Notamacropus eugenii: one gene and its partner. Each later gene encodes a partner of the first gene's protein in a complex. Links are inferred from orthologs where the notes say so. Each region holds a gene or a part of one and is shown on either strand. Other genes may lie near its edges. The genes, in order: JAML and CXADR.

Region 1 (15,193 bases):
TTCCACCTCTCTCCTTTGTACCTTTGCCCAGGTTTTCTCCTCTATTAGAAATAATCTCTCCCCAGTTGCTGCCCTTGGAACTCTCGCCTCTCTTCAAGGATTAACTCAGCCATCCTCTCCTTCTAGAGGCCTTGTCTGATGCCCCCATTTGTTACTGCTTCCCCATCACTGTGTTTTTACTTCATACCTGTCCTGTGTTTACTTATGTGATAAAGGGATCTTGTGCCGCTTTACTACAAAGGGCAAGGATTGGCCCACTTTTATATTTATGTCTCGCATGTCTAGCAGTGTTTAGTACCCTGTAATAAAAGAGTTGGTTTATTGAACTTATAAGTTCATATAAGGACATAAGAATAGAATGGAGTAAGCATTTATTGACAGGTGCTATACTAATATTATTTTACAAATAATACTACAAATATTATCTCATTTGCTCCTCTCAACAACCTTTCGAGGTGGGTGCTTATTATCCTCATTTTAGAGTTAAGGAAACTGAGGCAGATAGAGATAAAGTGACTTGAGGGGAGAGGGGTGCGTGTTGCAAAGAGGTGACTGAGTCTAGATATGTACTCAGGCCTTCCTGACTCCAGGCATAGCACTTTATCCACTCTACCACCTAGTTGCCGTAAAAATGTTTTAATAAGAGTTTGTTAACAAATTAACTCATTTGACCTTCATAACAACTCTTGTGATATAGGTGCTATTATTATCCTTATTTTTCAGTTGAGGAAACTGAGGCAAACAGAGGTTAAATGACTTACCCAAGGGCACACAGGCTCAATTTGAACTCAGGTTTTCCTCACTCCAGGCCTAGTGCTCTATCCATTGTGTCACCTAGCTGCCCCAGAAGAGCTGATTTAGATGTCACTCAGATCAGTGGACAAGCATTTATTATGTATCTACTAGATGCCAGCCATTGTGCTAAACACTGAGGGTACAAAGACAGCACAGTAGACTCTGCTTTCAAGGAGTTCCCAGTCTAACAGGGGAGACAACATGCAAGTGACTGTGCACAAACAAGATAAATGCAGGTTAAACTGGAGTTAATCAATAGTGTCAAGGCACTAGTATTAAGGGAGATCAGGAAAAGTTTCCTGTCAAAGATGAGATTTTAGCTGAGACCTGAAGGAATCTGGGGAGTCCAGGAGACAGAGATGAGAAAGGAGTGAATTATAGACATGGGAAATAGCCAGTGACAGTGAGCAGAGTGTAGAGATGGAGTGTCATGTGTGAGGAATAGCCAGGAGGCCTGTATTAGTGGATCCAGGGTTATGTGGGGGTGGGGTAGGTTGGGGGCTGGGGCAGAGTAAGGTGTAAGAAGACTATAACATAAGATGAAATCAGGTTATAAAGCACTTTGAACACCAGAGGATTTTTTTATTTGATCCTGGAGGTGATGGGACATCACTGAAATTGATTGACTAGGGAGAGGTGACATGGTCAGGCCATCACTTTAGGCAGGTCACTTTAACAGTTAAATGGAGAATGGCCTGAGATGCGGAGGGACTTGAGGCACAAAACTAAGCAAAAGGGTATTGCAGTAGTCTAGGCTTGAGGTGTTGAGGGGCCTGCACCAGAGTGGTAGCAGTGTCAGGCTGATTGGTGATGAGAGATGCCTCAAAGGTAAAATCAACCAGACTTGTTAACAGATTGGATTTTTGGGGGTAGGAGAGAGTGAAAATTGAGGCTGACAGCTCAGGTGAGTGGGAGTAGTCTTCTCAGTGATAGGAAAGTTTGGAAAAGGGGAGAGCAAGAAGTCAAAGATAATGAGTACAGTGTCTGACATGTTGAGTTTAAGATGTCTAAGACATCTACTTAGAGATGTCCACCAGGCAGTTGGAAATTCTAGCCTAGAGGTTAGGAGAAAGTTTTGGGTTGGATAAGGAGATCATCAGCATAGAGATGATAACTGAATTCATGGGAACTGATGAGATCATCAGCATATAGCATATAAAGAGAAGAAAAGAAGGCCTGGGCCAGAACCTTGGAGGACACTTATGGTTGTGGGTGTGATATGGATGGGGATTTAGCAGAGCACTCTCAGAAGGAGCAGTCACATAGGGAGAGGACCAGGAGAGAGCAGGGTTACCAAAGAGTGGAGAGAGCAGAGAGTATCACGGAGAAGGTGATTGACAGAGAGGTCAAGAAAGGTGAAGGCTGAGAGAAGACCTCAGCTCTGGTGAGGAAGCAAGTGTTTTGGTCAGGAAGTGCTCTGTTAGAGTGTAATTAGGATGCAGCTATATCATCAGCACAATCAGATAACATTTAATATACTCTTACACAAGCGTTGTGCTTTACTGAACAGTGTAGAAGACCCAGGTAAACAGATATGACCCTTTACTTGAGGCATGGCACAGTGGAAAGAGTCCTGGACACAAGAGTCAGGAAGGCCTGAGTTCAGATTTGATTTTGGGAATCTACTAACCATGAGATCCTGGGCAGGTTACTTTCCTCTTACTGCCTCAGTTTCCTCATCTTTAAAATGGGGATAATAGCACCTACCTCCCAGGGTTGTTGCAAAGATGAAATGAAGTAATATTTTCAAAACACTTTGCGAAGCTGGAAGTGCTATATAAATGGGAGCTATTATTGTTGTTCAGGGCAACTAGATGGTACAGTGGATAGAGTGCCAGGCCTGAAGTAAGAAAGACCTAAGTTCAAATCTGGCCCTGATCCTTACTAACTGTGTGACCCTGGCAGGTAACTTAACCGTGTTTGCCTCAGTTTCCTCATCTGTAAAATGAGCTGGAGACGGAAGTGGCAAAACACTCCAGTATCTTTGCCAAGAAAATCCCAAATGGGGTCTTAGTCAGACACAGCTGAACAACACATCAGTTATTGTTGTTATTTTGGGGAGGTTGGTAATGGGCATTTTGACTAACTCTGCCCACTTTTTTTTTTTTTTAATAGCACTGACCAGGGAGAAGATGAAGGCTGCATGCGAAGACTTTGTACCCGTTGTGCTGAATGCCTGGTAAGCTGTTTCTTCCACTTAACTGTCTGTTTAACTTTTCTGCACGTTGAGGAAACACATTGTGCTGTGATATTAGCTGAGATAATGCAGGTGGGGCCAGAAGGAGGCATGAACCAAGGTCTTAGAAAGAATTGTGGCCACAGGAAGCCCTTACCATCCCTAACCACCTCAACTTCTACCCCTGATCTGTGGACATAAAATGGTGCTGGTAGCGCTTCTGTGGAGCATTCCCTGAGAATGCGTAGCTCACATTTCAATAGCTCTTTACTCTTACTATGACTTTACACCCACTATTTTATTTAATCCTCAACAGCCTGATAAAGTCCATACAGTATTGCTATTTCACAGCTGAGGGTACTTTCCTTCATTAGGGTTAAGTGATTTGTTCTAGATCAAAAGGCTAGTTACATAGATGATTTACCCCTGGGATTCAAGTAATCTGACTCCAAGTGCAATTTACTGTCTGCATTACCATGCTTTTTCTCTCTTCTGCCTTATTATCTAGAGGAAATGTGGAGAAGAGAGCATTTCTCCTTCCTGATGGCCAGTTTGTGTCATGCACAAAAACATGTCATGTTTAAACTTCACTCTCTGTAGCTGCTTGCTTCTTTAAATTTGTCATACTTAGGGTCTTGGATTTTAGGGGGGGGTATGTGGTCCTCTACTGACTTTGGTGCTGCATTTGGCTTCTCTTTTCCTCACACTTTGTTGATATTTTGTGATCATTTATGTGGCTTGGATAGAATTTTTAAAGTGTTTCAATGACCATTTATTTATTTGCAATGCTATTGCCACCCCAACTCCCAAATAACCAAGAGAGAAAATTTTTTTAAAAAGCACTGTCAGGCACAATGAACAAATCCATTGGGTCTTTGTGCAGAAAGATCTGTCTCTGCACCTTGTGTAGCATGGATAGACTTTCACCACGTAAGTTCCCTATCAGGGATTAGAAAACTGGTGCTTTGTCTTTTAACTCAAAAGGGAAAGGCTGCTGTTTCTATCATTGTAGCGCTTGTGACTCATGATAGCTTTGCTTGCTTCCAATATTTTTTGTACAGCAATAGTGGCTCTCTGATGTAGAGATGTTAGGAGACCAAATTTATGCTCTAAGTATGGCATACACTTCTTAGTGTAGGTTTTGAAATTTTTTCTTCTCAAATTTATGACCAGATTCAGCACTTAGCAGGATTTGGCTATATTGTTTCACCTCTATATCTGTTGTAGTGCTCTATGTTTAAAATTCTCAGTGGACTCTTCTTCCTTTTACCTGTTAAACTAAGCATAATATCTAAGATACTACATTTGAAGGGTTGTGTGGCAACACATTTGAATGAAAATATTTTGATAATATGAAATGAATACATGTTTACAATCTTGATTATGTGCAGTGTAAATTTGAGTTTGAATATACAGGATGTCCCAAAAGCCTTCCTGAAGTTTTAAACTCTTAAAGCTTAAAAATATGTTTTAGATCTGCTAGAAGACATTAAGAAATATGTGTACCATATGAAGAAAGGTTTTCAGTATATTTCAGTAGCTTTCTATAGCTCAGTTTTGTTATTCATAAAAAACCCTTTCCATTTTTTGCCCCTTCTGCTGTTACTGATTTGGTGCCTCTAGGGTTTTACAAGTTCTGGCATTCCCCAATATGTGTGACATTAAAGCCCACTGTTCTCCTCCTTTTGCCAGAATTTTTTATGCTATTAAAATGTAAAACTTCACTAAGACTTTTGGGACAACCTTTGTAAATATGAAGCATCATGCTAGACTGGAAAGCCTTTGAGGCAGAAATGGAGATGGCAGGTGTCTGTTGCTTAAAGATTTGGCTCTCATTTACCTAATGGTAATTTCCGTATGTGGAAGTTGGGCCAGGTAGTAACTAAGCCATATTCTGGGAAAAGCTTTGAGTCTTTGACTTAATTTGCTGAAGTGCTATCTCTGCATGGTTTTTCTCCATTTAGGATTCGGACTTTGAAGAAGCATATTGATGACAGTTTAAAGACTACCTGGCTTCAGAACTCGAGTCATGTGTTTGATCTGCACAAAAGTCCTGTTCCTTTATTTGTTGAAGTTTTGTGTGATTGCAGTTGACTTGGACTGCCATGATGGAAAGCCATGTTGGAGGAACCTGGAGTTCAGTAGTCAAGACTGTCCAGTAACTTTTAATTTATTGAAGAAATGGCCTTTTTATATTTATAAAACATTTTAAGATCTTAATAGAAGAGATGCATAAAAAGCAGAGCTCTGCTTATTCTAGTTTAGTAAGTTATATTCTGGTTGGACCGAGGAACTATTTTCCTGAGCAGGAAGATATAAATTGTCTATGTTGCACTCTATGCATTCTATGTTTTCTTCCAATTGTTTGAAGGAGAATCATAAATATTGTTATTACTGACTACAGAGGATCTTTTCTTTCAAAGGAATGTCATTGTAACATCCTTTTGTTCCTGTCAGATGAAAATATTTGTAATAGTGTTTTGCTTGGTCAGTTTTTAGCTTGGAGCTACTAATTGAATAGTAATCACTGCTTATTTCTCTCCTGTTACTGGAGCTGCAAAATTTCATTGTATATTATAATCTCAAGATCATTTGAATTGTGTAAACTGTAATCATGTAAGATTAGTCAGATTTTGCTTTGTTTCAGTACTGTATTTTTTTCATGTTAAATGTTATCAGTTTATATTCAAGGAAAAGAGTAGTGAGGCGATAGAATTGATTTCTCCTGGCTCGCCAGATCAGAATCGGGCTGGGGTTGCAGTGGGCAATATCTCATTGTCACATTTCCTTGCACACTCCGCTGCTGTCTGTTCGGCCCCTTCACTTTTAGGCCAGTCTTTGGGAGTTTTCCAGTCTGAAATTATAGGCTGCTGTAGCTTTTATCTTTAAATGGCGATGTCTTCTCACCTTTCAGAATCGCTGATCTTCAAAATGCGCAGAATATACACACTAGTGATTGTTTCAGATGTCGCTGCAGAAGGTCTTGTGGATCAGAAGTGAGCACAGGCCTCAGACTTTCTCACTGTTGTCTTCTTCCCTCCTTGTGCTCTGTGTGCTCTGGCTTAATTCTCTAGTGCATGACTAGCCAGATAAAGTGCACATATTTTATGTGCTGAGGTTTTACTTTTTGTTCCCCATGTATAGAAAAATACATCTTGGATCTGCCACAAGACTTTAAGAAATAGATGTGCCAAAGTTGATAGTATGTTTCAGCAATCCAGAGGTATGTTGTTTTCTCAGTTTTTGTATTCAGAAAAACTCTTTCCATTTTTGCCCTTTCTTCTATAACTAATTTGGTGCTTCTGGTGTTTTCCAAGTTCTGAAACTCCACAAAATATGTGACATTAAAACCCACTGTTCTCTTCCTCTCCTTAGATTTTTAGCCCACATTTTTTTGTTTTGTTTTGTTTTTGAATACAGAATGAGTTCAGAAGCTTTGTGGTCTGCCCCATTGGTTTATCCAACCCTCTTTGGTTAAATTGTTTTACCAATCAGAAATTTTTGTGACTTAACTGAGATTGTCACTTACCCAAGATCGCACAAACCTTCCAGCCAAATCTGGGACTAGCAGCTTGCTTTTTTCCTGTAACCGTGCCTGTCCCTGTAGCTTCACAGTTTCTTGGACCATGTGATAATTGATTTCAGGGGCCGATCCACTGAAACTCTTTCTAACTTTTAAATACAGAGAAAAAGAAAGAGAGTTAATTTAGGCATTAAGTCGAACCTTTAAGTGTTCCTAGCTGTAATGTAAGCATTTTGTGAGACCTCAGCTCCCTGAGAAGGGGGATAATACTTCAGGATGGCCTAGTTAAAGCTATGTCCTTTTAAATGAAAACCTGTTTTGACTGGGTCATCTTATACCTTTCTTGCAGGCTTGAGGATGAATTCAGTGAGGTACGTTTGTGATTCTTGCATGAACAGTCCTGTGTGAATGCTCAATAGTATTATTTTACAATCTTAATCACGATTTGGACCAAGGCCCCTCCTTTTAGAATGACTGAACAGTAGAGGCTTTTATGGTAAGGAGTAAGTTGATCATTGAGACTTTTCTGTCTGGTTGTGGTCACATCACAGGGTATAAAGCTGCTATCAATTTCTCCATTACTCCTGTGAGGTCTGTCCTCAGCCTCTCCTCAGAATTGTTGAGAAGTTATATACTTGCCTCCTTTAGGGATGAATAAAAGATACAGTATATCTTTTATGTAGAGATATCCTGTGCTGTTTTTATACCTCCTTAGGTTCTATTTTTAGTTTTCTTTCAGATTGGTGAGAGAAACTTTTCTAGAATGGGAATTTACCACTGGCAAGCTCTATGCAGGGGTTGTCTTTCTAAAATAGCTTCTGCTTCATGGTATATTATCATCTTTGTTTTCTGAGTTTCTGTTACCAAGAGTCATTGAGTTTGTGGCTAAATATGTGCTTTAGAGGAAAGGGCCTTAGGTTTACTGTCTATCTGATTGCATCAGGTAACTTGGGAAGCAGTTTTTTCTTTACCAGCACTGAGAATAGATAGGCACTGGTACTTCAAGAGAGTGAGTTACTTGTGTTTTGTTTTCTGTTTTTTTTTTAAAACAAGAAACCCAGAAGCTACCACCTGAATATTGGTGTATAACCTTTGTCCTGAATGTCCTCGTGTATGATCTAGTCAATTGCAAATGGTGAACTTCAAGAGGACCAGAGGGATGTTTATGAGGTAGATTCAGAACTGGAAGGGGCCTTGGAGGTTGTGGAGTCCAGCCCCCTTCTTTACAGATGCAAAAACTGAGAGGTTAAATGATTTACCCTGGATCACAGAGCTTAAGTGTCTGAGGTGAGATTTGAACCGGTCTTCCTGACTCCAAGTACAGCACTTGGTGGACTAACATTTTCCCTTCACATCGACATTAAAGAAGAGCCATTTCATTATTTGTCTTCCCCTTTGAAAGGGGAAGTTCCGTTCACAAAGCCCTTCCATTCTTGCTGAGTCTCCCTGTGGTTTTGCATGTGGAAATGGCACTTATGGCCCTCTGTCTGTAAACACTGTAGATGTTTGCAATGATGTGGACAATAAACTCCTTTTTACGTTTCCAGGCTGTACTTTGTTTGCTTTGCTTATTTAGTATCAGAATTATTCATGTAAGAGTTGAGGGCTAGTGGTTTTCAAAGTTAGGGTCGTCTCTTAATTATACCTGGGAAAGGACTTAATCCTAGATTTTGAGGAGGGTTTCATCTGCAGCATGCCTTACATCAAGAGAGTATGCAAAAAGGCCTGTCTAAACTTGCTGAAATAGATGAAGCAGACTATTTTGCTTTGAGTTGATGCCTCACTTTGAGGAAAAAAGGTTGGGCTCCAGACTTTTCCGCTAGCATTAATTTTTACTTACATAGGATGTTCATTCAAGGTATATAATGGTGGAGCTCTTGGGGTCTATATTCTGTAAAGGATAATCTTCTTTGCCTCAATTTCCTCACCTGTGAAATGAGCTGGAGAAGGACATGGCAAACAGCTGTAGTATCTTTGCCAAGAAAACCCCAGATGGGGTCGTGGAGAGTCAAAACGACTTAAAAATAACTGAACAACAATACATTGCCACAGAAACTTCATTGTGAAAGTCTGCAGGTCTGGGTAGTAAGGCAGAGGGCTTGGGAGGTGCCAGTTTTTTAATGGGATGTAGTACATGGGGAATGACTGCCCTGCAGATTTGTATAATATTGTAAAAAAGGAAATAATAGCAGACCGCTGTGACTCAAATCATAGAACAAATGATTTCTTCCCTCTCAAGTTGGAAGATTGTCATTCAATCATTCGACAAATATTTCCTGAGTGGTTACCATCCATAAGCTGCTATGGTAAGTGCTCTGAGATTAGATATTACCTACCCTCAAAGAACTCACAATCTAGTGTGGGAAATGACATACATAAACACAGGACAGATGTGATCACGGCTCCTTCAGTAAGTCAGCCCCTAAAGCTTTTTTTTTTTAAATAAAAGCATTGGGTTCATACTGTGGGCTGAAAGACTGAAACAAGAATTTCATGCTTGTAGTTCCTGTATTTCTCCTCAGCTGCCTCAAAATGCACATATCTGATTTGCTCTAATACCTCTAGGATCTACTTGAATCAGACTGTGGGGGAGTGCAATACCATCTGAGGAATTTATAATTGTAGTGTCTCTCCTGGCATGTCATCACCTTAGGTAAGCATTTTTCTTTAATTTTCCAAATAGTTATCTCATTTGAGCATTTTCTTGATCAGAAGAAGGATGTTGCTAAAGTGTTGTTTTTTTTTTTTTTTAACCCCACTGTTGAGTCATATAAGACTGTGTCTATGTGATGGTGTTAGCTTTAGCTGGGGAATTGGGAGTGAGGTGTCTTAGCTTGTTAGGACCTAACTGGACCAGTAAGTCATGACCAAGTTAGTTAGATTTTCTGTGTGTTTTGATAAGTTGCTTTGTGACAGAAGAAAAATAAGGAATATTTTTAATAAGAGGCCAAAAATGAATCAATGAAAACTGTCATCTTAGGCAGGGCTTTGCCTAGGTGTGCTTAAAACTGTGAGAAGACTGTATGACTCTATTCCTTCTACTCCCAACAACAGCCAGGATCTTATACCAAGAAGCCACTAAGACTTTGCTGGGTCTCTGGGGCTTGACAGAATCCGTACTTGTCACATCATTTGTCTGGCTGTGATCTTAGTGAGGAGTCATGACGTGACTGAGGAGGGAGAGATTAGGAAGGATGTGGATTCTGTTATCACTCATATTCCTTTCCAACTTGGGGGTAGGAGGAGAGTTATCTCTGATATAGATTGTTTTTGTTCAGCTTTGTCTGACTCTATGTGACCACATTTGGGGTTTTCTTGGAAGATACCGGAGTAGTTCGCCATTCAGCTCATTTTACAGGTGAGGAAACTGAGGCAAACAGGGTTAAGTGACTTGCCCAGAGTCACATAGCTAGTGAGTATCTGAGGCCAGATTTGAACTCAGGTCTTTCTGACTCCAGGTCCAGCACTTTATCAACTGAGTCATCTAGCTGCCTCTTGATATAGCTTAGGTTGTGCTAATAAGACACCCGTGTGTCTGAGGTCACATGAGCTGACACTTTTTTTATATAGTCATGGAATCATAGAACTGTAGAATCTTAAGGTTGGAAGGGATGTTATAAAGTACTTATTAAATGGTCTTGGGAGGAAAATTAATACTGAGAGGCTCAGATTTCATATCAATATAAGAGAAAGCAAAAACAGTTTAATTGGAATATAGAGCACCCAAGGAGTTATATGAAATAAGTTGAAGAAGATGAGTTAGGAACAGCTTTAAGTGCTAAACAAGAGGAATTTGTATTTTATCCTAGAAACAGTAAGGAACCCCTGAAACTTCAACTTGGGGAATGGTGATTTAGGGGAGTGGGGAAGTTGAGGATGGTGGTAACATGGTCAAATCTGTGCATTAGAAATACCAACTTGGCAGCTGTGTGGAGGTTAGACTGGAGAGGGGAGAGATTGCTCTCAAGGAAACCATTTTCAAGACTTTTAATCATCTAGCTGAGAGATGGTGAGGGCTTGAATTAGGGTGGTAATCTAGGGCTATGAGAGTGGTGGTAAGATTCTGTGGAGGCAGAAACTAGATTTGGAGACTGAGGAGATGTGGAGTGAGTGAGAGAAAAGAATTAAGGATGCCACTGACGCTGTGAACCAGAGAGACTAGAAGGGTAGGGATGAAGTTTAGTGGGAGCAAGGCATTTGTTGAACGTTTTGAGTTTGAGATGCTTATGGGATGGTATATGTGGAGATGTTCAATGGGTAGTTGGTGATATGGGCCTGGAGCTCACGACAGGTAAAGGCTAGATATAGAGCTGATAATTGAACCTTAGGAGGTGGTGAGATCACCAAGTGAGACTTCAGAGAAGAGGGCCTGTACAGAGTCCTGTAAACATATGCACATAGGAGGTCAAACGTAAATGCTGACAAGTAGAAGAGGGAACCAAGGTGGGCAGAGGAGAGCAATGTCCTGGAAGCCAAAGTGAGAGAGAGTGTCTGGAATGAGGAGCTAGTTGAAAGTGTTAGAAAAGTTTCAGCAGCTCCTTATTGATTCTAGGATAAAATACAAATTCCTCTTGTTGAGCCCTTAAAGCTATTCCTAACCCATCTTTCTCTGTTTATTTCACATGATTCCTCTGAGAAGTCAGACAGAAGACTGAGAAAAGGTTATGGGATTTAGCAGTTGAATTGTGTATAACCTTGGAGATGGCAGTTTGAGTTGAGAGATGGGGTCATAAGTCACGTCAACAAAAGTTGAAAGCTGAACAGGATAAAAGAAAGTGGACAATATTTATGTAAGATAACTTCTTTCTAGAAGTTTGGTTATGAAAATGAGGAGACAGACATAGATGATTGCTTGAAGGTTAGGTGAAAGGTTTTTGGATGGGAGGAGATCTGAGTATATTTGTAGATAGCAGAGAAAGAGCCAGTAGTGAAAAATGATCGATAGAATCACTATGATCAGAGGAATGCTATAGATAGAGTTTACCTAGATTCTTGCAAAGCAATTGAGAAAATCTCATATTATCCTTCTGGAAGGGATAGAGAGGTGTGGATCGGACAGTTCAGGTAATTGTATCTGTTCAAATGGCAAGACCTAAATAGTAGGCAGTAATGCCCTGACTGGGAGTTTTCATTAGCATGCCCCAACCAGAGACTTTGGCTATTTATAATATTTTTATCAAAGATCTGCATAAAGCACAGATCATATGCTTATCATATTTGTAAAATGACAGCTCTGGGAAGGATAGCTAAAGTTAGATAACAAAGTCAAGAATCCAAGAGACAAGATACAACATTGAGTCAAATACTAATGATGAAATTTAATGGTAAAATTTTAAACTTGGAGTTAAAAAAATCAGCTTCATAGGTTCATGATGGGGGAAACATGGATAGAGGACGTTCATCTGAAAAAATTGGGATTTTAGAGCCCTCCCATGCTCAATGAAAGCCAGCAGTTTAATCTAGTGGCCAAGAAGTCAATGTGTTCCTAGGCTCCATTAAGAGAAACAGAGAATGTCCTAGATGAGACGAATGACTGTTCTGTTTTCTCTTTCTGGCCAAGTCACATGTTGGATATTTTGTTCAGTTCTAAGCAACACATTTTAGGAAATCCATAAACAATCTTAAGAGTGTCAAGAAGGGAAGGGGGACATTAGAATAGTGAGGGCAGGCTGTGTGAGAATCAGTTGTAGGAACTGCAGATTTTAGCTCAGATAAAAAAGATGGCTTGTGGGGAGAAGAGGAGACTTGATTGGTATCTTCAAGGGCTGTTGAATGAAAGAGCAATGGATTGGAGTTGTTCTGTGTGGTCCCAGAGGGCAGCACTGAAACCAGTGTGTGGAAGTGAAGGACACAGATTTAGGGTCAATGTAAGGAGAAACTTCGTACTGGTGGGAGGTATCCTAAAGTAGAATGGGCCTTTTTGGCAAGTAGTAGATTCACATTTACTGGAGATCTTTAAGCAAAGATTGCCTAACCATTTGAGTGTATTGTAGGAGACCTCTTGTTCAGGTATGAGTTGGATGAGATGGCTTGTGAGGTTGTTTTCAACAATGTGATTCTGTGAATCTGTATTTTTGTCTTTTTAAGTAAATCTCTTAAAAGAAAATCAGATTTCATCTATATAGGGAACTCTGGGTGTAAAAACTTGCTCCACTGATGAAGATCAGCAGTACTATCTTATAGTCCTTAGAGAAAGTAGGACACGGTTTTCTGAAAATACTGTAGATGTATTAGATTCTGATAAAGGACTGCTTCCCCCTTTTGTTTTGGGTGTAACTAAGTAACACATAGGATTGGCTGCCAGATTCAGGGCCATCTCTCTGTCACTGGTTTCCTTTTTAAACAGTGCTAGAGTTCTAAGAAATGTCCACAATGATGGTTTCAGTTGAGGTCTAATATCTAGATGAGTCATCATTAGCTCAACTATTATAAAAATTATATTTAAGATTATTTCTGATGGATGGTACACGAGTTGACTACTGAACTGACATCCACCTTACTGACCAACCTTGTGTCAGGCTATTGCTATATGTATGTACAATTTTGGGGGAATTTAACATGACTCTTAGTGTATCTGAATCAGTGCAATCACTAGTCATGTCAAAAGATTTCTACTACTTTCACTTTTAAATTCTCGTGTTCACTGTAATTCATACTTCTCTGCTCTTGCCATCCCCTTCTAAAATTTACAAACCAGTTTGGTCACTTTGGGTTATGGTCCTTAGGACTTTTCTGTTTGTTCTTGATGATGATCCTTTGAATCCGATCTAAAGACATCCATGCAAATAAATTACTTTCCTCTTGTCTTATGTGCTTTTATCGTAATGAACTTCTGTTATTACAATTAAAAAAATATTTTGTAATTTGTTTTAGAAATATTTTTATTCATTAAGTTTTGTTTTAACTTTCCTTGTCCAGTATTGTTGAAATACAGAAACAATGACAAAAGAAGAAAAAAACAAACCAAATGAAAACACAGAAAACAGAAGACACAAATGATTGTGCATATATCTGTACACTTCTGTATTTACTGATTGATTATTAAGCAAAAGCTGTATGTTAACTTTAACAAGGTAGTGACAGAGTTGTCTGATGAATTTAAAATGTATTTTGTTGGTGTGCAATGTCTTTATTTCCACAGCTATAATCAGTTTGAGGCAGATTGGTTATAGTGGAGAGAAGGGATGGCCTTCAAGTCTTGCCTCTGATACATATTAACTCTATGACTGGTGGCAAGTCTCTTAACCTCTCAATGTTCCAAACAATTTTCTACTGCTGTAAAAAGTAGCAGACAAGTCGCTTTTCAGCATTATTAATGGGAATTTCTGAATAGAGAGTTAACTACCTGTTCAAATCAAAAGCAAAAGAAATTTTTGTATAAATTGTTCTTTTGGTTCTTTCTTCATTCTGTATTTCTTTTTATGACTTATTAGGTTTCTCTGAGTTCTTTATATTTATCATTTTTTAAAGTGCAAAACTATTTCTTTATATCTTTATGTTGTTGATGAGTTGTTTCAGTCATATCTGACTCTTTGTGACCTCATTTGGGATTTTCTTGGCAAAGATACTGGAATGGTTTGACATTTCCTTCTCCAGCTCCTTTTACGGATGAGGCAAACAGGGTTAAGTGACTTTTCCAGAGTCACACAACTAATAAGTGTCTGAGGCCAGATTTGAGCTCAGGTCTTCCTGACTCCAGGCTGCTGCTCTACCCACTGCACCACCTAGCTGCCTTGTATCCTTATACTACAATTTATTCAACCATTCCTCAACCTTTGGACACACTGCTTCTAATATTTTGCTATTCTAGTGTACTTGGTAGTAGTTTACAAAGTAGTAATAAATGACGCTGTCATATTTCTTGTTTGGTAGAATAGCTACAAGGAAGGCAGAACAGGTATTATTTTCCACTTACCTTCTCCCCACCACTCCCCTCCTTCCCCATTTTACACATCATGAAATAGAAGGTCAGAAAGGTGACTTGGACAGTGTCCCACAAGGAGTTAGTAGCAGAGCCAGTACCAGAACCTTTTGTCTTTTAATTATGAGACCAGGGTTCTTTTTGCTACTCCATGATGCCTCTTTTTTTGTATGACCTTCTGGTGTACTTTGCTGATTTTTTTCTAGTGACGATAGAGTTAAGAATTAGAAAATGAAATTGCAAACTTTCAGGTGATCCTTTCTTGCTCACATGTGTGTTATGAATAAAGTCAGACATGATATAAGAGATCTAGACTTATCAGAAGAAAGACAAGCACTGGTTCTTGTATCTTCATAAGTCCTTTCTTCTTACCTTATTTATGTGATGTGTTCTCCTTCTGCTGGAAGGGGATGAACTCCTCTTCCATTGTGAGAAATAGAAAATAGACCTGACTGAGAAGCTGAACGATTTAGAATAGAGGTAGGGATCCTGCAACCTCCAGGCCACATGTGGCCTTCTAGGTCCTCAGGTGTGGCCTTTTGACTGAGTCCAAGTTTTACAGAACAAATTCTTTTATTAAGTTGATTTGTTCTGTGAAGTTTGGATTCAGTCAAAGGGTCATACTTGAGGACCTGGAAGGCCACATGTGGCCTCAAGGCTGCAGGTTCCCCACCCCTGGTGCAGAGGAATCATCCTCCTAGGACCTGAGCCCCTCCAGAGGAGTTGGTAGGTAGGATGAAGTTTGGACTGCATTGCTGATTTGGATGTTGTAGAATTT
Region 2 (14,872 bases), about 130 Mb from region 1:
CTTAAATCACATTAAAAGACAAACACATATACTGTTTCTAGTGAAAAAAACTTGTTTCTGTACTTTAGTTCTTGTAAAGACTCTTGATTGATAAAGGTAAGATTCAATCAGAGGCACTTGATAATACTAAAACAAAAACAGCAAAAGATCCCATTTTGATTGCCATCATAGAGGAGCATGGAGATGTACTTATTCCCATTTCTTTGCTACAAGATGTGCTAAAACAATAATTCCAAAATCATCCCATCCAGTTGTAAATCTATGATTTTTGCCCATTTGGAACTCGGCCAATTCATTACTTGGATATTAGCATATTAACTTAACATAAAATTATTTCTCCTTTTAACATTTCTCTACAAAAGTGGGTAAATGGAACTTTTGAAGCTAACCTTTCAAACTGCTATCCTTTCTGTCCAATAACAATGAAAACAAAGGTTGTCTCATACAGACAGCTCCCTCATGAACCCCTAGCAACATGGTTAAAACCTTTCAACATACCACTTCTTTTACTTTCTACAAACAGGGAATACAGAATCTCCGAGTTGGGAAGGACTCCAGAGACCACCTAGTCAAACCTTAGTAAGAATTCCCTCTATAATAAATTCTGTTATGAGACTTGTTTTGAGAACATGAATTTGTTCCAAGGCAACTGATGTATTAAGGAAACTTTTGAGCATAAAACATAATCAGTAGAGGAAGGGTGGGGTACATTTCAGGCATAGTTCTGAAATAGCATGAACAAGATCAAAAAGGCATGTTAGTATGGTTGGAGGATGGAGCAGAGGAGGAGTAATGAGGCAGCATTAAAGGCAGAGTGATACTAGATTTCCTAGGGTTTTAAATATGAGGATAGGAAGTTTGAATTATAGTTCAGTTGAGTTTACTTTAATTCAGCAAATCATAAGAACCTACTATGGTTAAGGTACTGTGCTAGGTACTGGATACGGCATGAATACAAATTAAGTAAATAGAAGATAATAATTAGATAATTTGTGGAGAGGAGGGAGAGAATGAGAACATACACTAAGAACTGGAAGGTATTAACTGTAATGTAAGAATTGTTCCAGTGCTGGGCTATGTCTAGGGCTTCCTCTTGTCACAGGGTTCTGGGACCTGTTCCTATTGGAGTCTTGACTTGGAGTCCTATCCCTCAGTTGTTGGACTTCTGCCACAGGCTTCAGGGACTGTTCTGGCTAGTCTTTCTCTAGGACCCTTCTCCAAAGCTGGGCTGGGATCACTGCTATTGTACTGGACCTTTCCTGGAATGCCTTGAGACTACTCTCTGCTAGACTAGGACTGGGTTGGGACTGGGGTGATCTCAGGCCTTGTTTTCCAGGGCTAGACCATCTGGGAAAGTTCTTAAGCAGTCAGCTGTGAGGTTGGGAAAGGCTCAGGTTGGACAGGGAGTGTCATGAAAGACAGTAGTGAAAACCTCAAAAGTCCAAGCAGCATTCCCTGAGGGCTGGGCTTGCCTGGTCTTGGGCACTGCTGAGCTGAGGTCAGAAATGCTGCAACAGTAGCAAGCTCTCTAGGCAGTGCTGACTGAACTCTAACCCACTGCACTTTGTCCAAAACCTTCTCTGTCCCAGGACAGAGATGATTCTCAAATCTCCCTTCAGGACTTTAGGGGTTCTTCTACGGATTTTCTTGGATTGGATGCTCTGACTACAGGTGATTCTTTCTATCAGTTAATAGAGTGGTACATTACTAAGAGGATGTGGGATCTTAACAAGCTAACATCTTCCCACAACCCCCTGGCCTACCTTTATCCATGACTTTAGTGACCTACTCACCAGCATTAACCTTCCTGGGCTTGTTGAATCTTGTCATTTCTATGTCCTTTCTACCTTATCACTTCTACTAAATTAATAAACACATCTAGTCTTGTACTGATTGAAGCTTTCCAAGGCGTGTAATCTTTCAACACTAAGTCTCGGAATCCTTATCTTATGACTTCAAGGCTGGGATAAGAAGCTCCATTTCCATTAATTCCTTCCTTATTAGTGTTCTCTGTCTCTCCCCACTACCACCACCTATCCCTGCACAAATGATCTATTCTCTTCTATTTACTTATTTGTGTACATGCTATATTCCCTAACAGAATGCAAACTACTAGGGGAAATAGGCTATGCCACCTTTATATATCCAGCACTTAGCACAGTGCCTTAAACATAGCAGGTTCTGAATATTGGCTGAATTAAACTAAACCCTACTGAATTATAATTCAAACTTCTTATCCTAGCATTTAAAGTCCTAGACCAGTAAACAGAAATTGGAGGCCATTAAATTTTACAAAGGATTCCTACAAGCTGTATATTGACTTAGAAAACCAGATATTCGCATAATCTATGTTCTATTTTATTTTTACTTATTGTTAAATATTTCCCACTTAAATTTTAACTTGTTAGTTTGAAGTAGGGAGATGTCTCTGCCCTAGCTGATTTACTATCACTCTACAATTAATGCTACCTTATCACTGCTTTTAGTCTAAAGCTCCAAGCAAACGTACTTTTAATATGCCATTTCCTATACCTGGAATGTCCCTGATTTTAAAGTACTATTCAAATATTATTCTATGAAAATTTCCTGTGATCCTCCATAATTCAATATAATAACTACAACTCCTCACATTTCTACAGTACTTTGAAGGGTTTCCGTTACAGTTACAATCATTGTAAAGGTTGTACATGGACCCTCCTCTGTTCTCCCTCTATACCAATTCACTTGATCTCATCAGCTCCCACTGATCTGTACATTCTCAAGTCTACCTATCTGCTGGCCTTCAACCTCTAATTTCCAACAGCCTTTCAGGCATTTAGAATCAAATGGCCAGTAGAAATCTTTAACTCGGTATACCCCAAAACAAATTCATCATCTTTTCCCCTGCTCCTACCCACTTTCTTAGGACTGTAGAGGGTAATACCATCCTCCCAGGCCCTCAGTGTGTCATCTCACTGCCACGTTCAATGTTGTCAAGATCTCTTCAATATGCCCCCTTCTCTCCTGACACCACCACATCTCTAGGTGAAGGCCTCATCACCTGGAGCTTGCAATTGGATCTGCTTAAGTCTTTCCCCACCCCAATCCATCCTCCAATCAGACTTCAAAGTGATTTTCCTAAAATACAGCCACCTTCCTCCTACTCAAACTTCAGTGTCTCCCTATTGCCTCCAGAATCAAATACAAAATGCTATTGGGCATTGAAAGTCTTTATAACCTAGCCTCCTCCTACCTTTCCAGTCTTCTTACATCATTCTCCCACACCACATCCTCTTCACCCCAATGACACTGGCATCCTTGCTGGTCCATGAACAAGACACTCTAACTCTTGGCTCCTGGCATTTTCTCTGGCTGTCCCCCCAACCCTGGAATCCTTTATTTCATCTCCACCTTCTACTGGCTTTTCTGACTTCCTTTAAGTCTCAACTAAAATCCCATTTTTTACAGAAAGCCTTTTCCAACCCCTCTTAATTCCTTGCTTACATATAAAACTGTTACTATTTATCCTGAATACAGCTTGCTTTATATAGGTGTTTGCATGTTGTCTGCCCCATTAAATTATAAACTCTCTGAGGCCAGGGGCTCTTTTGCCCCTTTTGTACTTGCAGCATTTAGCACAGAGTCTTACTCAGTAAGTGCTTAACAAATGTTTGATTATTTTTAATTGATGCTGATGACAGGTAACAGAAACTCTGAACTCCAATTAAGTTTTATCCTTCCCAAAAGAATTCCATTCTTCTCATTAGACCCATATTATTAAAAAATTGTACTCAATTATTATTATATTTTTAATTTCATCAATAAAAATTTTGTGGAAATCTGTTTTCTTTTGTTATATAAGTACTTACAAAATATCCTTGAGTTTGTCTTTTGGCCCACAAAGCCTAAAATATTTATTATCTAGTCTTTTACAGAAAAACTTAGCTGATGCTGATCTAGGTAACTTCTAACCTTTCCCTGGTCATCACTTCTCCAAAGTGAGTTATCTCCTCCATTAAAATGTAAGCTCCTCGTGTATAAAAATGGCCATTGCTTTTTTATTTGCATCCCCAGTACTTAGCACTGTGCTTGGCAAAAGCATTCATCCATTCCTTCTAACTACTATCTTGTATTAATTATTTGTGTTTATGTCAGATCCTATCAACAGACACTGAAATTCATGAAGGAGAGACTTATGTAATCTTTTCCTCTCTCCCAGAGACTAAGTATAAACACATCAGATCTTTAATAAATGTTTGTGCAGTTTAGTTGAGATATCCAGCAGGCACGGAGAAATGTAGGACTAAATCTCAGGGAGAGATAACAGTTGAATATAGATAAGGGAATCATCCAGAGAGGATCATTAAAGGTGGATTCAAAAAGAAGGGAATATGTGTAATTAAGATGATCTCAGTACACCTACAAAGAAAGAACTTAGAAATAAAATTTAGAGCAGGAAAAGACCTCAGTCAGAGAAATTTAATCGAGTCCAACTCCAAGGTTTTTTTCATGAGAAAATTGGAAATCGCAGAGATAAGTGACAGGCAGGATATGAATCCAGGTCTTCAGAAAGTGGTGGTGAAGGGAATAAGCATTTATAGCGCACCTACTATGTGCCGGGCTCTCATTTTATCCTCATTACTACAACATAGGTGCTATTATTATCCTCCTACTTTACTGTGGAAGAAAATGAGGCAAACAGAGGCTAAGTGACTTCTGCAGGGTCATATGGGTCAACTAGCTATAAGAGTCTAATGTTAAATTTGAACGTCTTTCTGACTTCAGGTTCAGTATCGTATCCACTGTGGCACCTAGTAGCCAACAAAGCCAGTTCTCTTTCCACTCCACCAAGAAGCCTTTTCTATGCTTAGAAAGGTAGAAGAGAGAACAAAGACATAGTGTCACAGAATCCAAGGGAAGAAAAAAAGTGCTTAGAAATGCTGCACAAAGGAGATGTGGCAACAAGCCCTCTGATTCACAGTTTAATCCATCAACTACTTTCTAGTGGTTAAAGTTCTACCTAGGCAAACAAATAGTATGTATACTGAATATGGATCATCTTGATGGGGTGCTCAGACCCTGACCCTAAGATCACGTCTCTGAAAGTCTCCCAATTTCTCTGTAGGGCCTTGTCCTCTGAGAAAATTTTCTCTTGTTGCAGAACACATTCCCTTATCAGAACAGAGGCGTGCCTCGCCCAAGGACTCTTCTTCCTGCCAGATCCCCAAGTTCCATACCTCTGACATCTCCCTCAATGTCTGGTATGCTCCCTACACTTTCCCCTCCATAGCTCCCAAAGACACATGGACCCTTACATGACCTAATTAGTATCCCTGGACTTCCTTTCTCATGTTCCTTTTTCATATAAACCCCAGCACAATCCTCAGTCTCTTCAAAGTTCCATAAGGATTCTTTCCCACTTTTGCTAAAGTGTTACAATAAATTTTTTGCCACTTGACTAAGAGAAGGCTTGAGTATGTGAATTCATTCCAGGCAAATTTGCCTTGGCATTCTTGGGGTCCCAGCACCCTCAAAGCTCTCCAATCTTACCAGAAGATTTCTAAAATTGGCACTAGGAAATCTGAAAAAAGGGCAGGGTTGGTACAATGAAAAGGACTTCAGATTTTAAAGTTAGAACTCCTGGGTTTGAATTACTCCTCTTCCACTTACTGCCTTTGTAACCTTGGATAAATTACAACAGGTTTTCTCATCTATAAAAGGGGTTAGGTGAAGTGATCTCTTAAGATCCCTTCCTTAAAGCAATCATACTACTGTATGAGAGAGCTCAAATTCCAGGGAAGAGAATGTGAATTTGAATGTATAACCCAAAATAGGACTAGCAAAATGCTGAATTCTAGAAAAAATTTATCTACAATAAAACACCTGGCTAAATCCAATTAAAACATTTCATTGGACTGATCATCTAGCTGACTTGTTCATTTCTCCATTTCAATACTTCAAAATGTGATTGCTTTCAGCTAAAGAAAGGCTCTCCCAAGAGATACTGAAAAAAGAATATAGGTAAGACCTAGTTTTACCAAGCAATTTAAGTCAGCTTTAGGTAATAAAAAACAGATAGTGCTAAAGTTTCCAGTCAGTGATTGCTTTCCAAATAGAATTTTCATGTCATGAGTAATAAGTCATGACAGCAACAATGAATTTTACATTTCAACAGGAAACGGAAAATGCCATCCCAATTCTGTAGCAAAATCCACTTAACATTTAACCTTCCAGGTGCTGTGCAAAACACAAATCATAAAGTTCTGAAATAGGAAAGTCTGACAAAATAAACGGAACCATTTTACTTTCAAAAGAGTTGGCACCAAAAAACACTGCTTCCACAGGAAAAAAAACAAAAGCTAGGTCTACTTCTACTCCAAAAACACACACACACACGTGTGTCTATATATATGTGTGTATGTATATAACATGTAGATATTATACTTCCCTCCACAGAGAAAATCCTGCATAAAGTTCTTTAAGAATTCTAAAACCCCACATGTCATTTTATCCAAAAGAACTCAGAAATTAAGAAATAGAACAACTCAATCCTCTCTAATGCATGGATACCTTTTTTTTTCCTCTACAGAAACCAATCCTTTTGCAGGAATCTCCATAGGAGTTCTTCAAAACTGTCCCATTACTCAAGACATCTCTATTTTTTTAATAAGAAATGGTTCCTGCTTAGACATTCATAATCTATATTAACTCCTGCTAATCTTTACTCAGCACCTTTCTCCAACAGAACTGGTGAATCACAGGTGCCACCAGGGCACGGAGACCTTTTAAAAATGGCAGACTGTTCATGATCTGCAATTTTACCTTCTGAAGACTTCAAATACAGGTGACCCAGGCCGGAAACGATAAAATGACAAACAAAAGTGGGCCAGAGAAACCGAAAACCAGTGGGAAACGCATCGATACCATAGAAAAAAGACAGGAGCCCATGAGGAAGGGCAAGCGGAGCTGGCCGGGCTGCAAGGTCCCCAGGCTAGGACGTTCTCCGCTCCCCTCCCCTCAGTCTCCCCAGTCCAGACAAACACACCAGTGACCCCCATTTGGGGGCCAGCCCTGGAAGGGCGGCTGATCCCTGCCAACAACACGGCTTCAGCTCCAGGGCAGGAGTGCCAAGAGGATTTCGCAAACGTCTTTGTTTCACCGCTCCCTCGGGGGCTCGTCTCTCCCACAGGGTTGGATTCCCGCAGACCATCAAACGAGCCTCGAGGTCCTGCAGGATCCCGACATCTCCCCAGTCACCCCTCGAGGTCCAGCAGGGAGATCCCGAGGATCCCCACAATCACCCCTCGAGGGCCAGCAGGGAGATCCCGAGGATCCCCACAATCATCCCTCGAGGTCCAGCCAGGAGATCCCGAGGATCCCCACAATCACCCCTCGAGGGCCAGCAGGGAGATCCCGAGGATCCCCACAATCACCCCTCGAGGTCCAGCAGGGAGATTCCCGAGGATCCCCACAATCACCCCTCGAGGTCCAGCAGGGAGATCCCGAGGATCTGTCCGACCAGGAGATCCCAAGGTCACCCCTCGAGGTCCAGCAGGCTCTCCCCGACCTCCAGGCTAAGCCCCTGCCCCCCCTCCCCCCCCCCCCAGAGCCCTTTCCAGCCGCTGCCCCGCACGGTTCTTTGTCTCTCCGCCCAGGGTACCCGGGGCCAGTCCAGGCGGACCCGCGGGCATTCCTCGTCACTCACCCGCGGTCCAGCACAGGAGCGCAGCGCACAAGAGGAGCTTCATGGCGAGCGGACGCCCGGCTCCGCGCTCACAGCCTGCCTGCCCTCACTCCGGTCCGCGCGCTCCCAGCCCGGCTCGGCACACCTCGGAGCCCCGTCCTCTCCCTCTCCCAGCCCGCACCAGGGCGAGCAGGTGAAGCTGGCGTCACTTCCGCTCCGGCGGCCGAGCCTGGGCTTCCACCCCGCGCCTATGCCCGAGGGGTCAAGGTCCGACCTGGGCCCGCTAAGCTTCCGCCGCCGGCCCCACGCCGACGCCCCGAAACCAGCCTCTGGGGCAGGGTGACCCCGGGAGGCTACGCGTGCCCGCTGGGAGCCAGGGAGCCCAGGCACCCGTAGCCCGGCTCTCCTCCGCGCTGGCCACCGCCCACACTCCCTAGCCTTGTCTTTGAAGTAGGCCGGCCCGCGATCACATTAAAAGAAGAAGGTGTAGCAGCCCCAGACCCCCGCCTCTGGGTGAGAGAGCTGCGTCCCGCGGGCAGAGTCTGGGAGCTCTCCCTGGGGACGGGACACACTTTTCTGCCCGCGGTTGGGCGCAGGTTTACGCTTCATTTTACCTGACCCCTGGCCTGGAAGAAAGAATGGGCAAGTGTCTGGAAGGAAAGCCAGGCTCTCCTTGTATCCCCTGGGGAAAAGAAAGAGACAGCCTTAAATTTCAGCCAAAGGAGGGAATGGGAAGAGAAAGAGTTGTCTTAACTCTAAACGCAGTTGACAACTACGCATATTAAACAAAACGAGTTGTATACATTATTTGTCTGTGTATGTTAAAAGGACGCAGTTGGAGGGGAGGGTGGGCAGGTTCCTCTTAACAAAATAAAGGCAAAATTCTATATATATAGTGAATATACTGTATATGTAGTAAGTACCACATTTAACCAGCAATGTCATTTTTAGGGCTGTATCCCAAAGAGATCATAGACATGGGAAATATTAATAGCAGCTCTCTTTGTGGTGGCCAAGAACTGGAAATTGAAGGGATGCCCATCCATTGGCGAATGACTGAACAAGTTGTGGTGTATGAATGTAATGGAATGCTACTGTGCTAGAGAAATGATGGACAGGAAGACTTCGGAGAGCCTGGAAAGACTGAAGTGATGCTGAGTGGAAGGAGCAGAACCAGGAAAACTCTGTACACAGTAAGAACCACAGTGTGCCAGGAATTTTCCTGGTAGACTTAGCCCTTCACAGTAATGCAAGGACCTAAAACATTCCCAAAGGACTCGAGGCAAAATGCCTTCCACATCCAGAGAAAGAAGTATGGAATTGGATTGCAGAATGAAGCAGAGTATTTTCTCTAGTGTTATGGTTTGTTTTATGGTTTCTCCCATTTGTTTTAATTCTTCTATGCAATATGACTAATGTGAAAAATGTGGTTAATAAGAATGTATGTGTAGAACCCATATATAAGACTGTATGCTGTCTCGGAGAGAGGGGGAAGAAATCTAAGACTTATAGAAGTGATTGAAGAAAACTGAAAATATATTAATTTTAAAAAGAGTGGTTTAAAAAGAGTGCTCATATTTAATTTCCCAAACTGCTGACTCTGCCCCTAGTTAATCTACCTCACCAGAAAGTACCTGTTTTTAATTATAATGAAGCTAAAATAGTGTGCAGTAAAATTCTTCATGGCAGGGACCATAGGTGCAGTGGAAAGGATGCTGGATTTGGAGTCCAGAAGACCTGGGTTCAAAAGTTGGCTCAGCAATTCATTTGCCTCCGTAACCTAACCAAGTCCCAATTTCTCTGAGATTATTTCCTCCTCTGTAGAATGTTGAGATTATATATATATATATATTAAGGTCCCTTCCAGCTCTAAATTTATGATCCTTATGCAGACCAGAGCATCTTTCTCACTCTAAGCCTCCAATTAGTTATTCCAAGTTATAAATATTTGGGGTTGGGGAAATTTTACAAACTGTTATTGCCCCCCAACAACATTTTACTTTGTCCAGTCAGCCATAACAATACACAGTTTGTAAGAGGCATTTTAGTTAAACTAGTCATATGACATTCCTCCCATAAAAGTTGAGCTTCCATACACACTCAGTAAGAAGAGTGGACATCCATAGGAATTAGATCCACACTTGCAAAAATGTATCCAAGGCATCTCTTTTTACCAGATGTGTACAGAGAGAACACATTTTTCCCCTTCCCTTCCTTCCCCCATAGCTACCATTAGACACAAATAGGTGTGTGTGTGTGTGTATCAAGTTAAGTAAATTTCATTTTTTCCTTCTCTCTTTTTTTCTTCTCTTCTCCCTCCCCTCCCCCCAGGATGTAGACATAGAGATGGGATGATAATGTATTGGAGGGGCAACTCACACCCCTTGACCCTGCAAAGCTGCCAAGGTCTTCTACAAAAGACATCACCCCGCCATTGTCCAGACCAGCTCCCCAGAAGGCTTTGTTCTCTGAAAAACATTTTTTTTTTACATGCCAGCTGGTCATCAGCTCTGTTTTCAGGGTCATTTGAAGCAAGTTCCACTGTGGAAACTGGTTACAGCTTTCTCACCATCTAAAAAGCCAGCTGCTCCATTCACTGAGAGAGAGTGCTGTGCTTGATTAATGAGCATCTCTTCAACAGCTTCCTCTACAACCTACTTTTTCTGTTTCCTTCTGCTTCCACTGTAGTTCTGAGATAAAAACTTCAGACCACCTGAAACTCTGTACTACATCAGGTAGAAGTGCTGTGGTATCCTTTCCTATGAGAAAACTCAGCTAGTCAGTGACACAATAAGTATTTATTAACTTTTATTAAGCAAGGCACTTGGCTAAGTACCGTGTATACAAAGAAAAACAAAAACACCTTTCCTGTCCTCAAGGAGCACACATTCTAATGCGGATGAGAACATATAAGGAAGTATATGTAAATATAAATATATATGGAAAATAATCTCAGAAGGAAGTAATTTGGAATTGGGAGGGGAAGGGTGAGTGGGTAAGGAAGAGACCAAGAAAGACACACTATAGAAAATGGTATTTTTTAAAATTATTTTATTTTTAATTTATGGAATAAAACAAGGATTTTCCTAACATGGTATAATAAAAAAGCTGATTGCACATAAAACTATAAATCTATTATGTACAACTTGTTATTCATTTTAAATATATAATAATCATGCTAATTTCTTATTTTCTTTTTTTCTCCTCCCCAGATGGCTACTTTTAGACAGAAATAGGGTGTCTGTGTGTGTGTGTGTGTCGTTGTTATGTAAATTTTTTTCTTTTTTCCTTTTTTTCTTCCCTAGAGATGGCTGCCATTAGGCACAAATAGGTATATGTGTGTGTATATATATAGATACATAATATATATATGCATATATATACATATATACTATATATATGCAATTATTTATACATCTGTTTATCAGTTCTTGAAGATGAGATGGAAGTTGAGTTGTGAAGGAAGCCAAGTAGTTGTGAGGATGGCGAACCTTCCAAGGAAAGAGAGGCAGCCAGTGAAAAGGCACAGAAAGGAAATGGGGGGTATGTGTGAGAAACAGCAAGTAGGCCAGCATACCAGGTTTATCAAGTACATAGAGGGGAGAAAAGGTATAATGAGACTGGAAAGGTAGGAACACACTAGTTTATGAAAGGGTTTCAAAGTCCTATAGAGGATTTAATATTTGATCCTGGAGGTAATAGGGAGGCATTGTAGTTTACTGAATAGAGGTGATGCAGTTTGGGGTGCTGGCTGTAAGAATACAGGGTGAGTCTGCCTGGAAAGAATTCAAGCACTCAAGCCTTCTTTCAGTCAAAGTAGGAGGTTTATTTTAACCCCAGTAGAGCGGGCTAGATTCCTAATGAATCTGTGCTTTGATGGAGATGAGAGTGATACTTATAATACAAAAAAAGACAGTGAGAAGATCTAGATGGGATTAAGGAGTGATAAATAGCCTAGGGTGGCCCAGGTGCAACAGTGAAAGGAGTAAAGTGGTCTGGGGTGGGTCAAGGGAACTGTGAAAGGAGTATTAAATGGTCTAGTGTGAGCCTAGAGCCACCATGAAAGAACTGTTAAGTATCTAGGTGGTCTGGGATGGACCAGATGCCTCAGGCAAGTTGTCTATGTTGTGAAATGAAGGGGGAAATTAAGGAACTGGGCTGCTTTCAAAGATATAGTATTTTCCTTTTTGTGAGTTCAAGTCCCATCACCCCATCATTGGGAGTAAGAAAGAGGGACATGATGTGGTCAGACCTGTGCTTTAGGAAAATAACTTTAGCAAATGAGTGGAGGATAGACCCTAGTGGTGATAGATTTGAGACAGGGAGACAAACCAGGAGGCTATTGCAATAGTCTAGGCATGATGAGATTAGGGTCTGTAGCACATGTGTAAATAAAAAGAAGTGGATATATAGAAGAAATGCATTTTTTCCTTTGTTTCTTCTCCCTGGTCCCCCCATTAGACACAAATATGTGTGTATGTATATGTGTACACACACACACACACACACACACACACACACACACACACACACACACACACACACACAAAGTCAATTGACTAAGAACTGCCTGAAGCTGGCCTGGTCTCCATTCCCAGGCCAATGAATTGCCTGAAGTTGACTAGACTTTGTCAATTCCAGTCTCTGATTATTTTGTAGACCTCCCAAACTCTCCCTTCCAGAGACTCCCAAGCTTTCTTTATGGATTTTTGCTTGTTATGTAAAAACAACTTACCTTAAGAAACTGTGAGATGCTCAACCCCTCCCATCTGCAGCCTCCTCATTCTATCAGACTTAGTACCCTATAAACCCTGTTCCCAGTCTTCTCCTTGGATACCTCAGCAATTGCTATGTGGCCTCTAAAGCTATACTCACTCTTCCCAGAAATCTCAATTTTGTTGTATTGATTGCTTTCATTAAAATTTAGGTTAAATGAATATATTTGTATATATATATATATGTATATACATATATATGTATATATACATATATATATGTATGTATGTATATATATGTATATATACACATATATGTATGTATGTATATATACACATACACACACATATATGTACACATTCATGCATATATATATGTATAATCATTTTATACATGCTTTGATATAGATAGCATCTTTCTTCATAAGTTCCTTGTATTTAATTTCAGTATTTATAATAGTCAAAATGACTTGGTTGCTCAAAGTTGTCTTTAAAATAATATTGCTGTTGCTGTATACGATATTCTTATTCTCTTGGATCTCTTTGTTATTTCGTGCAAGTCATTGCATGTTTTTCTAAAATCACTGAGCTCATCATTTCTAGCACAGTACATCAAAATCATATACCACAACTTGTTCAGCCATTCTACAACTGAAGGGCATGCCCATAATTTATAGTTCTTTGCCACCACACACACACACAAATGCTACACGTTATTTTAGAACATATAGGTTCTTTTCCTTTAGAATATATATGTTCTTTTCCTTTTTCCCTGATCCTCTTTGGAAACAGACTTAGTAGTGGTACTTGCTGGATCAAATGGTATATACAGTTGAATAATTCTTTGGGCATAATTCCAGATTATTCTACAAAATGGTTTGATCAGTTCACAATTCCACCAGCAGTGAATTACTGTCCCAATTTTTCCACATCCCCTCCAACATTTGTCACTTTACCCCTTCTATCATTTTAGCCAATCTGAGAGAGATGAAATGATATCTCAAGGTTTTAATTTGCATTTCTCTTATCAACAATGATCTAGAGTATTTTTTTATATGACTTTCAATTGTTTCAGTTTCTTCATTGGAAAAGTGCTTGTTCATATCCTTTGGCCATTTATCAATTGGGGATGACTCATATTCTTATAGATTTAATAAAGTTCTTTACATATTTGAGACATGAGATATCTGAGAAACTGTCTATAAAAATTCTCCCCCAATTTTCTGCTTCTGATCTTGACTACATTGGTTTTATTTGTACAATCCCTTTTAATTTAATGTAATTGAAATCATCCATTTTACATCTTACTCTGCTCTCTAGCTCGTTTATTCATAAATTATTCTCCTTTTCATAAGTCTGCTAAGTAACATATTCCATGTTTTTCAAAATTTCTTGTAATTTCTCTCCTTATTTCTAGGTCATGTATCCATTTTGACCTTATCTTGGTAAATGGTGTAAGATATTGGTCTCTGCCCAATTTCTGCCATACTGCTTTCTAATTTTCCCAACAATTTTTACCAAAAAATGAATTCTTATCTTAAAACTTAAGTATTTACTCTTGTCAAATACAAGGTTACCATGTTCATTTGTTGCTGTAAATTGTATATCTACTCTGTTCCACTGATCAACCTTTCTATTTCTTAGCTAGTACCAGATAATTTTGATAATTACTGCCTTAGAGTTTAACATCTGGTACTGCTAAATCTCCTTCCTTTACATTTTTTTCATTAGTTCCTTTGATAGTCTTGACTTTTTATTCTTCCAGATGAATTTTGTTATTATTTTTTCTAATTTAGTAAAATAATTTTTTTTTTTTGTAATTTAATTAGGATGTTATTGGATATATGAATTAGTTTAGGTAGAATTGTCAGCTTTCTCCCCTCCCCCAGTAGCTTCCACACATACTCTGATTAGGTCACACTGGATTCTTTGCTGTTCCTCATATAATCCAAACTCCAAGCATTTTTGTTGGATATGCCCTATGCTTGTGGAATGCTCTCCCTCCTCCTCTCTGCCTCCTGGCTTTCCTGTCTTCCTTCTTCAAGTCCCAGTTTAAATCTCACCTTCTCTAGGAAGCCTTTCCCAATCTCTTAATTTTAGCACATTCCCTAGGTTCGTTATTTCCTATACAATCCTGTGTATAGCTTCTCTGTATACAGCTGCTTTCAAATTGTCTACACCATCAGACTAGTCCTCGAGGCCACCGGTTCCTCACCCCTGAGCTAGCTGCTCTAGAGCATAACCAACAACGAGTGACTGAAGCCGACCTAGTCCGCATTCCCAGACCCAAGAAATGCCCCCACCCCTTCCTCCCCAACCTCTATTTTATAAATACTCAACTCTTCCCTCCGCGAAGGAAGATTAGCCGGCTTTCTCTAAGGACTTTTGGTCGTTATGTAAAAACAATTTCCCTTGTAAGACCTAGGAATGCCCCAACCTTCACGAACCCCTCTCGCTCTGCCTTGGTACTGTAAGAACCCCCATGTCCAACCCT

What was found.
Region 2: the proteins of JAML (region 1) and CXADR are in contact, whole or in part, in a crystal structure (PDB 3MJ7), measured with the Mus musculus proteins. The link is inferred for Notamacropus eugenii from reciprocal best matches to the Homo sapiens genes JAML and CXADR. Residues at the interface, in NP_001005421.3 of Mus musculus: Arg57, Asp59, Ala69, Tyr72, Phe75, Tyr77, Leu80, Val82, Glu120, Arg122, Ser127, Met128, Val129, Met130, Lys131; in NP_001020363.1 of Mus musculus: Thr23, Gly51, Pro52, Asp54, Glu56, Leu58, Ser60, Gln65, Ile66, Val67, Asp68, Gln69, Val70, Leu73, Tyr83, Lys121, Lys123, Lys124, Ala125, Pro126, Gly127, Val128, Asn130.

What each region holds. Positions count from the first base shown.
Region 1 is NC_092876.1:280,577,386-280,592,578, forward strand, and holds the start of JAML (junctional adhesion molecule-like), read left to right. Parts: upstream 1-9,115; 5' UTR 9,116-9,147; intron 9,148-15,193. Other genes in the region: MPZL3 (myelin protein zero-like protein 3), read left to right, coding at 2,911-2,974, 6,116-6,259. UniProt on the Homo sapiens protein: Transmembrane protein of the plasma membrane of leukocytes that control their migration and activation through interaction with CXADR, a plasma membrane receptor found on adjacent epithelial and endothelial cells.
Region 2 is NC_092876.1:411,766,039-411,780,910, reverse strand, and holds the start of CXADR (coxsackievirus and adenovirus receptor), read right to left. Parts: upstream 7,823-14,872; 5' UTR 7,728-7,822; coding exon 7,685-7,727; intron 1-7,684. UniProt on the Homo sapiens protein: Component of the epithelial apical junction complex that may function as a homophilic cell adhesion molecule and is essential for tight junction integrity.